2 linked regions of the Notamacropus eugenii genome follow. The protein of the gene in region 2 purifies or fractionates together with the protein of the main gene of each other region. This does not show direct contact. Links are inferred from orthologs where the notes say so. Each region holds a gene or a part of one and is shown on either strand. Other genes may lie near its edges.

Region 1 (7,711 bases), about 140 Mb from region 2:
GGAAAGAAGAGAGAAGGATAAATTTCGATCACAGAGCACTCTGAAGGGCAAATCAATTAGCATTTTAGGCTTCAAAGGCAAGAAGAACTACAAGATTCAGAGGGGCTGAATGGGTGAAGATGAAGGAATCTTTTTTTCTTTTAAAAAACATTTTCTATACTAAATTCTGAAGCCAGGAAAGGAAAAAGAAATCATTTTACTCTTCCGTGAGGCATCTCAAAAGTTCTTGGAAGCCCAGTCACAATCTAGTACATTCAACTCTACAGTTAAGTTATGTTATCAGCTGGACAGGGCTTTGTGGGCTGGTCTGGAAATCTAACCAGCATTATTCCCGTAAAAAAGGGATTTTCACGCTTTTGGGGCTCAGTACCTTCCCTGCTAAAAAAAAAATTGTTGAGGCCCCTCCCAAAGAGTTTTTGCTTATGTGGATTATACCTATCAATATTTACCATTTTAGAAATTAAAACATCTTAGTATTATGAAAAGTTTTATTGTTTTGGGCTCCATCAAAGGTTGTCAGGGACCCCTTCTCTCATCTACAGTCTTCATACCACTCTTTGAAAATCTATCTAGCAAGTAGATAGAGTTCTGGGACTGGAATCAGGAAGACCAGAGCTCAAATCCATCCTTAGACACTTACTAGATAGAACGTGACTCTAAGCACAATTTCCTCTAATGCAAAATGGGGAAAAAAAACATCTACCTTGAAGGATTGTTGTGAAGATCAAATGAGATAATACTGTAAAAAGCACTTAGCACAGTACTGAATATAGAGTAGGTACTATATAAATGCTTATTCCCTTCTCCTGCCTTCCCCAGAAAGACAGAGAAGATAAAGGGAAGTTCCCTTCTGAACTCCAGACCCCTTAAATTCATTTGCAAGTTTGAGCTTCCTTTTTGGTGCTGAATCTGACAGCCACTTAATATTGAAATAATGCTGTTACTTAATGAAATATGCCTCTTCCCCACCTCAAAAAAAAAAAAAAAGAAAAAGAAAAGATCTGCCATACTATTTTTACAGGGGAACCTAAGTGCAGCTAAGGTGCTGAAGCTGAAATCAAGAAGACCCGAGTTAAAAGCTCACCTCTGAAACTTATTAGCTGTATGATCCAAGAAAAAAATAAATGACTCTGCCTCTCTAACCTCCAGTTTACTCCTCTGTAAAATGGTAATAATATTTGTATTACGTACTTCATAGAGTTGTGGTGATCAAATGAGATAAATGAATGTAAAGCTGTTTGTAAATCTAAATGTCTATTCTTATTACAAGTTTAACTAAGCTACTAGTATCAATTATCATTAAAATGATTTGACACACACTGCATGTGACATAATACCATCCATCTTGTATTTGGCTTAAAGTTTGTCCAGGATCGTATATCATCCAACTAGTTGTGCTGCCTAAGAAAAAACAGAACAGTATCTGCCTAAACCTGAGTCTTCCTTGATTTTTTTCTCCATGTATAAGGGAAAATTAAAAACCCAGAATCTAATCAAATAAAATTATTCCTCCCTAGCCTCTCAAAGGAATATCATCTAATGGTCTGTACTGAGACTTGAAATGAGGAAATATGCAAGTAGACTGAGATTATGCATAATCATAAACCTGGATGAAAATTATCATTAACGAAGCAAAAAAAATTCTAAAACTAATCATTGGCTAAAAGATAACTAAGGGTTCTAATCAGAGCAGCTGCAGCGTAACTAATGGAATCACTAATAATGCCAAGAATCCCCAGGGGTGCATAACAACTACCTTGCTGAGGTAAGCCAGAATATGAAGGGTTTAGAAAAAATTATGGAATCTTGAGGTCAGGTTTTGAAAGTTACTATATATATTATACAAACTGATATTTCATTTATAAAATTCAGCTCATCAGAAAAATCCCAGTCTGAAAAATCCCCACTGAAACTCCATTATCCTAATCTTTCAGTAAAGAAATAAAGTCCTTCGATCCCTGAACCAAGAACAAAATACTGCACTCCCGGGGGATAGTCATTCCCTCTGTGCTGATTAGACTCAAAAATGAGATTCTTTAACTCTCTGGTTTTAAGTAATTAAACCTCCCCCCTACCCCTAATCCAGCTACAGGGTATTAGCGGGTACGTGGGTGGAGGGGAAGGAAGGTGTGGAGAAGTGTTAGGGGGAACACGAAGGAGAGAGATAAGGGGAAGGGAAGCACGAAAGGTATTTTTTTAAGTCAGACTTAAGAGTTCCCCCTGCGGACCCACCCACTCCTCAAAGGAGCCTCGTCGGGAGGGCGCAGGTAAAAGACTAAGCCGACAGAGGGAAGGAGCGGCAGGTTTCCCTCAGACACCGCTTCCCAGGGCCCTTTAAACTTCTCCCCTCCGTGTAAGAGCTCGCTGAAAATCCCAAACCAAGCTTTACTTGTGAAAGTTTTCGTCAGTTTCCTCCAGGTGCAAGAGGACCTCCTCCGCGCACTCGAGGGAGGGAGCGCCCGTGATCTTCTCCTTCACGCTCTGCAGCAACTGCCTGAGCATGGCCTGCAGCCGAGCCTCGTCCTCGCCGGAGAAATGGGCCATCTGTGGGGACAACACCAGGGAGCCCGGTGAGTTTAAAAGCCCCGGACCGGGGACGCGGCGCGTTCCACCCCTCCCCCCAGGGGGCGGGGCCGAGGCCCAGCCGCGGAGAAGGCCCCACGCTAGGGGCGGGGCTCCCCGGCCTCTTTCCAAAGAGCAGACCGCCTTACTTTAGGAAGAGAGGGACGCGACGGTCCCTGCCTAGGGAAGCGGACCCAGATGCCACCGAGGGAGAGGGCGAGGGCGAGGACGACGCAGCCGCCTTCGCCTCCACCTTTTCCAAAGACCCAGGCCGGCGGGGGCTAACCCACAGCAAGGGTAGAGTGAAAAGGAGGAGGCTGGCACCTTACGGGAACGACTGCGTTAGCGTGATGACGTGAACGTCGACGGGAAAGTAATCTCCGCCCCCATCTCCTTCTGGAGAAAGAAGGTTGGAAAGAGCAGAAGGGCGGGCCGGGGAGGCGGGGCTCTGGTAAGGCGGGGCTCTGAAGGGGTGGGGCTCTGAGGGGGTGGGGCTTGTGGGAGCTTAGGGGGCGGGGCTATGCGGAGGCGGGGCTCTGGAAGGGGGCGGGAATCCAGAGGGAAAGAGAGAATACAGTGGGTGGAAGGGAATGCAGTGGGTAAAGAGGGGCTGGACGGGGAGGAAGGGGCTCAGCTGAAAGGGAGAGGCCAGACGGATGTAACTGTTGATTTTAGTTCTTGGGAAAGGAAAAGAGAAATCGGGAGGATGGGGAACATTTTTGCATGTGTGTTGTAGACCCCTTGGTCACCTGCTGAACCCATGAACCTTTTCTTACCATTTATTCGTTCGGTTGCTTTTCAGCCCTATCCAGCTCTTCGTGACCCACTTTGGGATTTTCTTGGCAAAGATACTGGAGTGGGTTTGCCGTTTCCGTCTCCCGCTGATTTGACAGATGGGGAAACTGAGGCAAGCGGGGTGAAGCGCCTTGCCTAGGGTCACACAGCTAGAGGCTGAAGCCAGACTTGAGCTCAGGGAAATTGTTCCTCCTGACTTGACCCTCTATCCCCTGCACCACTTAGCTGCCCCTTTCTCAAGATGTTTTTAAATGCATAAAATAAGATACATGGGATTCTAAGGAAAACCTGTTATGATAACTAAATAGTTTCATTTGTTTTTCAAGCTGCTGGACTCCAAATGAACAACCCCTCATTAAGAGGAAGGGCAGGGATTTAGAAGGGAGGAAGTGATAAGAGGTAAAGGATCACTTAATCTAAATTTAAAATTGAAAGTGATGCTTGAGAAAGTTGAGAATGCAGAATGAGTGATAGTGACAGAGCTGCATTAAGATTATGTACTTCACACTCTTAAAGAAATCAGAGGAATCAAAAAAAAGTTAATGCTTAAACATGCTGTTACATACAGGGTTCATATTTAAGCAATTTAAGAGCCTTACCACAGGTTATCTCCTTCCTTCTGGCAACAACAATCTTAACTGATTTTTTAAAAAATATTAAATTCATTATTTATTTATTTTTAACATTCCTTTTTTAAAAACTTTTAAATGCTGCATTCTCTCTTTCCCTCCAGTCCCTTCTCTGTCATTGAGAAGGCCAGCAATATAATATCAATTATACATGTGAAATGCAAAACATATTTTCATTGTTATCCATGTTGCAAAAAAAGCAAGAAAAATAAAGTGAAAAATTATGCTTCAATCTGCACTCAGAATTTATTTAGTTCTCTGTCTGGAAATGGATAGCATTTTTCATCATGTGTGCTTCAGAATTGTCTTGGATGATTGTTTTGATCAGAGTTGCTAAGTCTTTCACAGTTGTTCATCATTGCAATATTGCCATTACCATATGCATTATTCTCCTGGTTCTGCTTATTTCACTTTGCATCAGTTCACATCTTCCCAGGTTTTTCTAAAACCATCCTGATCACTATTTCTTATATATAGCACAACAGTATTACATCACACACAACTTGTTCAACCATTCTAAGGTTATCCCCTCCATTTCCAATTCTTTGCTACTACAAAAAGGGCTACTTTTTTTTTTTTTGTACATGTAGGTACTTTTCCTTTCTCTTTTATCTCTCTGGGTAACTGGTATGAGTAACTTAGATGTCTGAGTGGGAAGCCACTCTAGAAAGCAACATTTTAAGGAATCAAAAGATGGAGCACATTCTCTGAAGTATCAAACACTGTGTAACATAGTGTTCTATATGATCCAATAAATGTAAAACTGTATTAAGCACTTTCCAGGTGTTAGGTGCCTTAGGATACCTGGTGGTACAAAAATCAGCAAGCATGGCAGTCTGTGCCTTCAGGAAGAGAACTTCACCTCCAGAGTGGATTTTGTGTGTTAAATGTCAGCACCAGGGAAGGACAAGTAAGACCTGCATTTCTTCAGCCATAAAAATGAAGAGGTTGCACTAGATGATCTTTTCTTCCAGTTAGAAATCTATAGACTAATGGTTTTCAGCATAATTGAACTTTATCATTCTGGGACTCCAACTTAGAATCTCATTAGGGCATGCAACATGGTACAGAAACTTGAATGGTATAAAATGGAAAGCAACTTGAAAGGAATAATATGTTCCATTCCACTTCTTGGCAGTTTCCTTAACATGTCTGCTCCCTAGCCATTAAGCCTATCCTTTTCTCCCTCCCATCTGAACCTGGTTTCCCAGACATGAATAGGGGAGCTTTTGCTTTATCTTTCCTGACCCATAGCTCTGCACAAATTCTCTCAATCTCTCAGCATCTCTTCCCTCCCACCATCTTCCAGCACCACACCCCAAATCTTTGTTTCCTTTCATTTGGAATGTAAGCTTCTGGAAGGCCTTGCTTGCTGGTGTTTCTACTGTAAGATATTGTAGAGTACCTAACACTTGGTAAATACTTAAAATTTTTATTTGCCAATCAGTACAACTCTACTTACATATACTTCTGTAAGCAAATGAATTCCACATTAGTCCCTGAGAGGATTCTGTGCTTAAAAGACATCTTCGAGACATTTTGAGGGTTTTGATTTTAGTGAGCCAAAATCTTGAAATTTTTGTGTAGAGACAATATGTATGGCTCCTGCCATAAATAGAACCAATCAATTAATCAATAACCCTTTATTAAGTACCTAGTACTTACTGAGCAGTATGTTAGGCTCTGGGGATACAAATACAGAAAGGAAAGAGTTCAGGTTCCCAAGGGGGAGATGATACATATACATATAAGTTTATAACATATGCAAAATTAATACAAGGTAATTGGTGGGGGCAAGTGAGTATGAAAGACCTCAAGTAAAAGCTAGCGTTTAATCTGGAATTTGAAAGAAACTAGTTATTATAAGAGATGGAAGTGAGGAAGGAGTGATTCCAGACATGGAAGACAGCTTGTACAAAGACATGGAGACAGGAGATGAAATGTCCTATCATTGTGTTGACGTATATCTCCCCCCAAAATATGTCATTCTAAGATTATTCCCTGCCCTTCCCTTACCTAAAAGAGATTTGCTAAATATGTGGGGTTATTGAAAATGCACTTTTGACAAACAACATCAACCATTGTCCACAAAATTAAATTTCATGCTGAGGATGGAAAACTAAACCCATGAAAACCAGTGGAATTGACTATATCTTAAAAGCAAAGGTGTTAAACACACGGTCTACTGCAGCATGTGGCTTACTGTCCAACCAAGTTAAAATGCAATTACAAAATGTCTAATAAAATAGATAGAAATAAAATTGAAAATATATAGTTAATTTGTGACTTCCTAAATGAATATTTCCCCTGAAGGGATCTTTTTCTAATTCAGTTTGACACCATTGTCTTAAAGGGACCAGAAATCCCTGGTTAACAGTGTAGAAGTCTTCCTAAAATGAGGAGGTTCTATGCATTCAGTCATGCATTTACTTAAATCAAAAATCCCAATAAGTGCCAGAGGAAAAGCAAGAATAAAGATGAAAAGAAAACACTGGCTGAAATTACAACTACTATATAAATCCAATTTGATCTATGCAAACAAGGCATGACTTTTTTTTTTTTAATGGGGAATTGATAAAGGCAAAGACATAATTATAAGCTACCATTTTTTTCAGAAGTTAGAAGTTGCCACTACATGGAATAAGCACCAAAGGACCCAGAAACTATTTCAAATAACTAATACTTGTATTTTATAAAGTGGATAGACATAACACCCAAGTACAACACCAAAATCCCAAAACCTAAGAGGTAGAAGATACCACAGAGACCATCCACTCCAACCTCCATCCTACCAAAAAAAGACCTCCAGCATCCCCAAAGTGATCATTCATCCTACCTAAAGGCCATCATTGAGGAAGAGAGAGCCCTCCATGCCCATTCCAAATTTTGATATCTCTAATTGTTTAGAAGTGATTCATAGGATTTAGAGCAAGAGGAGATGTTGGAGGTAGGTGTAATGTTAATAGGAGTTGAAGATCTTCCCAGTCCATTACTAGGGCTCAAACAGAGCCCATTAAGGGAAGCTTGTTTAATAGAGGTTTGCTTGCTTGAAGGCTTTCACACCATTTGGTAATTAGGCACTGAAGCACTTGTGGGTTATGATGCCTTCTGGCTCTATATATTCTGAGTTAAGCATTTTACTTTGGGGCTCACTCATTGGAAAAAGGTTCATGTGATTTGGCCAGATGAGATTCTGGGTAGTCATTAAGGAGCCCCCTGGCTTTGAAAACCCAGGTGTTGGTACTTCTCTCTCTGGTAACTATGTATGTAATGCTTTGGTCAGACAGCTGGATCTGTCTGTTGATCTGTGACAATTTCTCAAAACAGTTAGAAGCCCTGTCTGTTGACCTCTGCTATTTTCTCTGCTTGTAATTTCTGTTTGTATTTTCTCTGAAGTTAAGGGTTCTGATTTTTCCCCTGAACTAAGTGAATGATATATATGTTTAATTACAGTGATTGTTGACCCCTTTAAGTAACTTTCCTTTAAGAAAAGTAGAATCAAGAACCTATATTAGCAGGTCATCCTGGATGTGCTTGGGTGCTTGCTGTTATAGTAGGTCATCTAGTTTTATAGAAGGAGAAAATTGAGGTCCATAGAAATGACTTGTTCAAGGTCCTACAGGTAATAAATGGCAGAGCTTACACTTGAACTAAATCCTCCAAGTCCAAATTCAGTGCTCTTCACTTCATCACATTACTTATACCTGTATGGACATGAGATTGTA
Region 2 (7,088 bases):
AATGCTATCAGTTGCAGGAACAGTCAATGCTGGCACTTGTCATCAAAGCAGCCTGGAGGACCCTGAGAACAAGCCTTGTGTAAGGAGGCTGTCTGAAGAGTCCTAGTCCCTGTCATTACAGGGCCTTTTTCCATCCTCACATTCCAATGTGTCCCCCACTGGACTGCTGACCTCATGGGTATTCCCACTAAGACCTGTGCTGACTTTTTATATCTGTGTGTAAAACTGGATGTCAAAGTCATTCTACACCTTGTCCACCTTCTCCTACTCCCTGGATCTCCACTTGGAACAGACTGGAAGTCCCTCTACCTGGAGCTAAAGTCAAGTTGATGAACTATGGTTCATCATTGCCTTTTCACAGACTTCTGCCCCATCTGCCCTCTTAGGTAGAACAGCTCGTTGTGTGCTGCCTGCCTGGTCTCCATTTTTTTTCCTTATGGTTACAGCAGGAAGGCTCAGAAAATTGGCTGCTTCACTTTCCTTTACCCATGTTACATTATCTGACCTCCAGCACAATTAAACTACCTTGGCAACTCTTCTTTTGGGTTAGCCCTCATCCATGGCAGAGCAAACCAGGCATCGGGTACTAAGCTATCTTGAAGCAGTTTCTCTACCCACTCTGAAAAGTAGTATCCAGTGGGATGGTTAAATCTTTCTTACCATAGAATTCTAGCTTTTGCCTCTTTGTGCTCTGTCCTGGAGACAGGACCACTCTCTTTATGGGGAACCTTGACACTAAGTTCTCAACTGTTTGTGCTCTGGACAATATACATGAATGAAGGTCTGCCATCCTTCTTCCAGATGTGTGTAGTACTTACCAATGGTTCTCACATTAGTGTCCAGGGACCCTGGGGAAAGGAATGAGGGTCTGAAGTAGAGCCTCAAATAGCTGGAGGGGAGGGGAGGGGAGGCATGTGGCATCAGTGAACTCACTGAGCTATATGAAGGGAGTGAGCAGGCCTCCTCCACCTCCAGGGCTTCCCCCTTACATTCCTTCCTGCTTAGCCTTAGCTAATACTAAGAGGTTCAGTGGAGGAGCAGATCTGTTACTACATAGAACTTGGATTACAATATAGTTCAGGTCAAATGAGGTGCTTTGAAACATAAGTGCATACAATAAAATCCTGAACCAAAAAGGCTAGCCTCTAAGTCAGGTATCATTCCTATCCCCCCATCAGGGTTATTTGGAGGAGTTCTGGATACTGTTTAGTTAATAGCATTTAAAAGGGAGATCATAGGCTTTTGTGGAGGGGCGGGGAGTGGTCAGGGAATGTGGAAAAGTGAAGCTTCCAGTGACTGGGTACAGGCGTCCTTGAGGAATATATTTATTTTCCAGGAGGAGCTCTCCTGTATTCCTGTGTTAGAAAGCCTATGTAAGTCCATGCTCTAAAGACCTATGACCTAAAGACCCTGAGAACTCCCCTCTACCTTTCCCCATGGTTTCCCACCCCAGAAGAGGTCTTGTGTACAACCTAGTGGTCTAACTGTACATTCCCTGAGGTGTAAGAAGCCTATCCAGGTGCAGATCCAAAACAAGTTTTTGTTTTTTCTCTACTATTCCTGGTTATGGCTTGACAACTCAAAAGCTTAATAACTAAGGCAGTCTTTTGAATCAGTAATTCTTAACATCCCAAGAAAGACCCTTGGTCCTTTATCTGTCCCACAATCACTCTTTCCTAAAGCAAAAATTAAAATAAGCATAGTTAAGCAATAATCCCTTTCCTTGGGCCTCTGTAATCTGGGTGGTTACATCAGTGAGCATGCAGACCTACCTCTAGCAGTCACTGGGTAGTGTTAAACAGGATGCTTGGGGGAGGAGATGGGCTAATGGAGACCACAGTTAAACAGTAGCCAAGGCGGCCAGGAACCTTAAACCAAAATAAATATCCTCATTCCCTTTACTGATTACCTGTGTCTTTTGATGCTGGGGTGTCAGAACCTACAACTCATCCCTCTGCCTCAAATAGCCAGCAAGAAATTGAAGGCTGAGACCCAGAAGAAAGGTGGTAGTAATCCTTTTCTTGTTTCAAAACTGTCTCCTCACCCCCCACTGCGAAGATGTAAATGTGGTGGAAACAGCTCCTTAGCCCCTTTTTTCTTAAGATAGTTCCTCTTTTTTTTTTTTTTCCTATTTAGATACTTCGCAGGTAATTATCCCATTCAGCAGGACCTGACAAAACCCATGCTATTAAGACGTGAGGCACTTACTTGCCAGCCTGGCTTTGAAATGACCACCCCACCCCCAAATGACAATACCAACCATGGTCTGCTTTGACCCTATCAGGTTAAGAAAACACATCAGGGATAAAGCCACAATGTTTCTAAGAGAGAGAGTGAAAAAGGCAGGTCCAGAAGCATCAGTAGAGGAAGGCCACCTCCCTCTTCTGTAGTGGATCCAAATGGGGGAAGAAGAGAGGTCTGGTGGGAGCTGTGGGATAAGGAAGGACTTGAATAGGATGAGCTGTAACACCAAATCGCTCCTTTGCCACACCTTGTTCTGTTCCCGTCCTATTATTTTCCAAGGATGGGATGGTTTTGATTTCCTCACTAAGACATTTTCTTCCTCCTCCCATTCCCCGAGCCAGTTCTATTCCACCTGGAATCCCCACCATCCTGGGAGCTTTTAGTGCATGTAGAGCACTCATAACCAAGAAAGTATCTTATTTCAAACTGATGCTGGGACTGGTGCAGAAGTGGCATGATGTTTCCCAGAGACTTTGCACACTTTGTGTGTGTGTGTTTATGTGCTTACTGTTGGTGACAGTGTATGTGTGCATCCCCTGCTACCTTTGGGGTGCACACATAGGTAATGCTGCAGGTGCCACGTCAACAATGCAATGTTTATGGATTTCTGCATGGCTCTCAAAAGTAAATAAAACTGTTTACAAGAGGAAGGGGCAGCTGGTGACTGAGAATTTGGCCTGCTTTTGAGAGATTCTGTACCAATTTCCCCCAAAACATCCTGCAGTTACTAAAGAGGTTCCCTGGAGGTAGGGGATGTGGAAGAGTAAGAGGTCAAGGTGGAGGGGGGAGGGAATGCTTCTTGGTGGGAGTTGACATGCCTTTCCCAGAGCTTCCGCACCAACCTCCTGGGCAACAGCTCCCCTTTCCCTCCCCCAGATGACCCCAGTTCTCCCTGTACAGGCCTGTGTGATGAACTCCCCTCCCCAGCCCTTGATTCTGCTAAGGCAAACTGGAGAACTTCTAAGTACTCTGAGGCCTTTAATAATTAAACATCAGGAACGTTAGTGACTAGGGGGAAGCCAGAGAAATGGAGGAGAGGGGGGAGGGGGCTCCTTTCTGCCAAAAGGTAAGAAACTACAGGTCCATCGGAGTTTCTCACCTTGCTCTTTGAGGTTTGCTGTCTTGTGCCCCCCTTCCCTCTAATATATTAGGGGAGAGGGGGGATGGAGAGAAGGTATTCAGTGAAAAGTGGCTTTCCCTAGCTGGCTGGCCATGGCACAAAGAAGGATAATGTCCCTGAGCTGTGCTCCGGTCTGCTCCAGACTTTCGCTTGGCTCCCGGGCGGTGGCATCGGACAGACAGACAGACCTGCCAGCGACCTTGGATGACCCTGGGGATCAGGGGTCAGGGAACACAAAGAGAACCAGGGCCGCAGCAAAGGCTGCAGGAACTTGACGGAGTGCCTCGCACGGCCCCGAGAAGGCCCCCAGCCCGCCCGGAGCTCAGTCCCGGGAGCTTCCCGTCAGTCAAGCAGGGCGGGGACGGGGGCAACCGGTGAGAAGGTCGAGCCGCCTCCCGGGAGCTGCGCGGGTCTGCGGCTCTCAGCGCGGGGCCCGCGGCGCTGGGCGCGGGAATGCGCGGAGCGAAGGGGGCGGGGTGAGGACCAGACCAAGCGCGGAGTTCGAAGCGATGCAGCGGGCTGGAGAGTGGCAAGGCCCGCGGTCTCCATGGAGACGCGCGGACCAATGGCCGCCGCGGAAGCTGTTTATGGGGGTGGGGCGTCGCCATGGCAGCGGGAGAAGCCTTCCCGAGCAGCTACTTAATGCCGGTCCCAGGGCCGCCAGCGCTCAGAGAAGCTCAGCCGGGAGGGGGGGGTGGGACGAGGGGCGCTGGCGGGGCCACGAGCTGGGGGCGGAGAGTGGCGGGGGGCGGGGGGGCCCTTTCCTTCCAGAACCTTCCTCGGGCCGGGGCCGCGCTCTGAGCCAGGTAAGGGGCGGGAGCGGGGAGGGAAGACTACAGGGGGAAGAAGGCGGGAGGGAGGACTGGGGCAGGAGCCAGAGGGGGCAGCCAGTCCGGAGCGGGCTTCCTCGTCCCGGGCGGACGCCCCCACGGGTTCGGGGGGCCGAGTCCTCCTGCCCGCCTCTGCTCCAGTCCCCAGCCGTCCCTGCGGCTTCTTCGGTCTTGCCTTCTCGGTTTTCCGCCCTCCCTCCCTGTACAGCTGGCCCCCTGCTCCCCTGTCCCCCATTCCTGCTGTGGTTTGGGGGCGAACCCTCCGGACGCCGGTTCTTCCAAGAAAGCGGGAGAGCTCAGGGGCCCCGAACCGCTGCACCCGGACTTTGGGGGCTAGGAGAGCCCACCCTAGCACGAGAAGGCGAGACAAACAGGGTGGGCTTTCCGAAATTGGGACCGGACTCGTCCTGGACCCGACGTGTTCCGCGTCTCGCTCAGGACACCTTGCTACCCCTACCTCCCTACTCCCTACCCCGCTCCCGACCCCGTCCCACCCTGGCAAGGCCATTTAACAAGAACCCGCGCCTCCCCGGGGCTGAGGGGTGCCTTCAGTCTTAACTCTGCCCCTTCCACCCCGACCCCCCAGGCTCGGCTGTCCCGACGTGTTTGCTGGAGGCAGCCCCGGGATGGATCTAAGCACCGCCGCCCGGGACCCCCTGTGAGTGGAGCTGCGGTCGCTGAGTCAGAGAACGCAGGAGGACGGTCCCCGCGCTCAGCACTTGGATGCTGAGCTCACCCGCGGGGAGGACCCCCCAGACATGGCAGAGAATTGGCTGCGTCTCTCCGGAGCAGGGGCGGTGGAGGAGGGCGCTCTGGAGGAGCCCAGCGGCCTGGATGACAGCCTGACCAGTCTGCAGTGGCTGCAGGAATTCTCCATCCTCAACGCCAAGGCCCCCTCCCTGCCCCCTGCGGGGACTGACCCCCATGGCTACCACCAGGTGCCAGGCTCAGCAGCCCCTGGCTCACCCCTGGCTGCAGATCCCGCCTGCCTGGGACAGCCACACACCCCAGGCAAGCCCACCTCCTCCTGTACTTCTCGGAGTGCTCCCGCTGGGCTGCAGGCCCCACCCTCCGACGACGTGGACTATGCCACCAACCCCCATGTGAAGCCACCCTACTCCTACGCCACGCTCATTTGCATGGCCATGCAGGCCAGCAAGGCTACCAAGATCACTCTTTCCGCCATCTACAAGTGGATCACAGATAACTTCTGCTACTTTCGCCATGCTGACCCCACATGGCAGGTAGGGGAGGGCACACAGGCAGGGATATTCTCCCCCTACCCCCATTTCCCCTCCACTCTAGGGACTAAACCCAACCCTTTTGTGTTACCAACTCAACATCCATCCTTCATCCTACTCTCCCTCTCTCCTCTTCCCCAAATCCAGAGTGGTCAGGAAAGCTGTCACCAGGCACATTCTCCTAGTTAGGACAGACACCTTGAAGTGTGCAGTCCCCAGTATCTGATTTGGGTTTGGATCTTTGTTCCAGGTGCTTGGAAGGTAGGGTTGCCCAGATTTCTGATCTGGAAATTTGATCAGAATTGGGACAGTGTGTGGTCCCCTGGTGGTCTAGTGGTAGGGAAAGTGGACCAGAAAAAGAAACAGAACAGTGCCTCCTTAGAGAACATGGGAAGTGTGAACTTTGCCATCCTTTAGATTCTCCAAGTCACTTGGTATGTTTAATTGGGAAAAGTCAGTGTGTGTGCTGAGATTATTCCAAGGATGGGCGGAAGTTTTATCCAAGGCACTAGAACCTTGTTTCAAGGTCACATGAGTGTCTGCGGATTCCAAGAACTTAAAGGCTGAGGTTTAAGAATCCCCAGTCCTGACCAACACCTTTTTTTTTTTGTTTTTGGCCACTATCTTCCCCAAGCTGCATTTTGAAATGGACAAGCTGAACTTTTGGGGGTGTTTGTTCAGGGAAGGGAGGAAACAGTGAGGTGTGACAAACAGCTACGACTCCCTTCTGGGATGTGTATATATGCACCCTTCCTGGCTGTGTGAATGTGTGTCCTTCCTGTAGCTACAGACCCCCCCTGGAGGCCTCTCCCCAGTTTCCTGACTCAGCTCCTCCCATTTTTCTCTTCCTACTCTCCCTAGGGGAGCAATTACCTGGGCCAGATGCTCCCCACAGGGGATCTGCCCATGGCTCTTATTAACTGTTCCAAGGCTCTGGAACTTGACATAGCACAGCCAAGGGGCCAAGGCCACCATGTAAACAGCTTTGCCAGGACAGCCACTTCTCCCCCGCTTTTGGAAAATGGAATGAGCTGGCTTAAAGGGTACTGAGTTCCCTGATGACTTCAACTACTTGTCTAGGATGTTACAGAGGTGGGGGTGGGGGTGGGGGTTCATGCCTCCTGTGGAAATAGGTGACTTCCAAGTTCCCTTCCATCTCTGAGGTTCTTTGTGACTGTGTAACCCCCTACCTTCCAACAGAGGCAGGCCTGGGTCCTACTTCCCTAAGTGGAACACCATGGTTTAGAGGTGCACCTGAGCTCTATGGAGGGGGGAATCCAAGGAAGGATGATAGAAGAAGGATCAAGTCAGACTACCAGTGCAGGACCAGGGCCCTAGAGGCAACAATGGTCCCAAGAGAACTCTTCCCCCACCAAGGCAGGGATAGGTCCCTTCCCAACAGTCTCTGTAAGGGACTCTGAATCTCCTTCCCCAAAAGCACTGTTGATACTCCCAAGTCTGGGAGAAAGTGGATGTTGGAAGTAAGGGGGTGAGGGGCAGATAACAGATTCCTAATCCCAAACCATTCACACTTGGCTGAAGTTTGAACCCTGACTTCCGGGCAATTGCTACCTAAAGAATTGGAGTTTTGACAGAGGAGGGGAGGTAGGAGAGTTTGAGACAGAGCCCCAACCCTATTGCATGGAGAGGCTG

What was found. The genes of interacting proteins can lie anywhere in the genome.
Region 1: the proteins of FOXJ1 (region 2) and TBC1D32 purify together in Homo sapiens (affinity purification with mass spectrometry; 3 studies listed by BioGRID and IntAct, counting the BioPlex papers as one, with this or other methods). This does not show direct contact. The link is inferred for Notamacropus eugenii from reciprocal best matches to the Homo sapiens genes FOXJ1 and TBC1D32.

Annotation. Positions count from the first base shown.
Region 1 is NC_092873.1:203,877,543-203,885,253, forward strand, and holds the start of TBC1D32 (protein broad-minded), read right to left. Parts: upstream 3,013-7,711; 5' UTR 2,712-3,012; intron 2,545-2,711; coding exon 2,390-2,544; intron 1-2,389.
Region 2 is NC_092873.1:342,501,226-342,508,313, reverse strand, and holds the start of FOXJ1 (forkhead box protein J1), read left to right. Parts: upstream 1-4,082; 5' UTR 4,083-4,170; intron 4,171-4,780; 5' UTR 4,781-4,952; coding exon 4,953-5,438; intron 5,439-7,088. Other genes in the region: E3 ubiquitin ligase RNF157, read left to right, coding at 1-66. UniProt on the Homo sapiens protein: Transcription factor specifically required for the formation of motile cilia. Acts by activating transcription of genes that mediate assembly of motile cilia, such as CFAP157.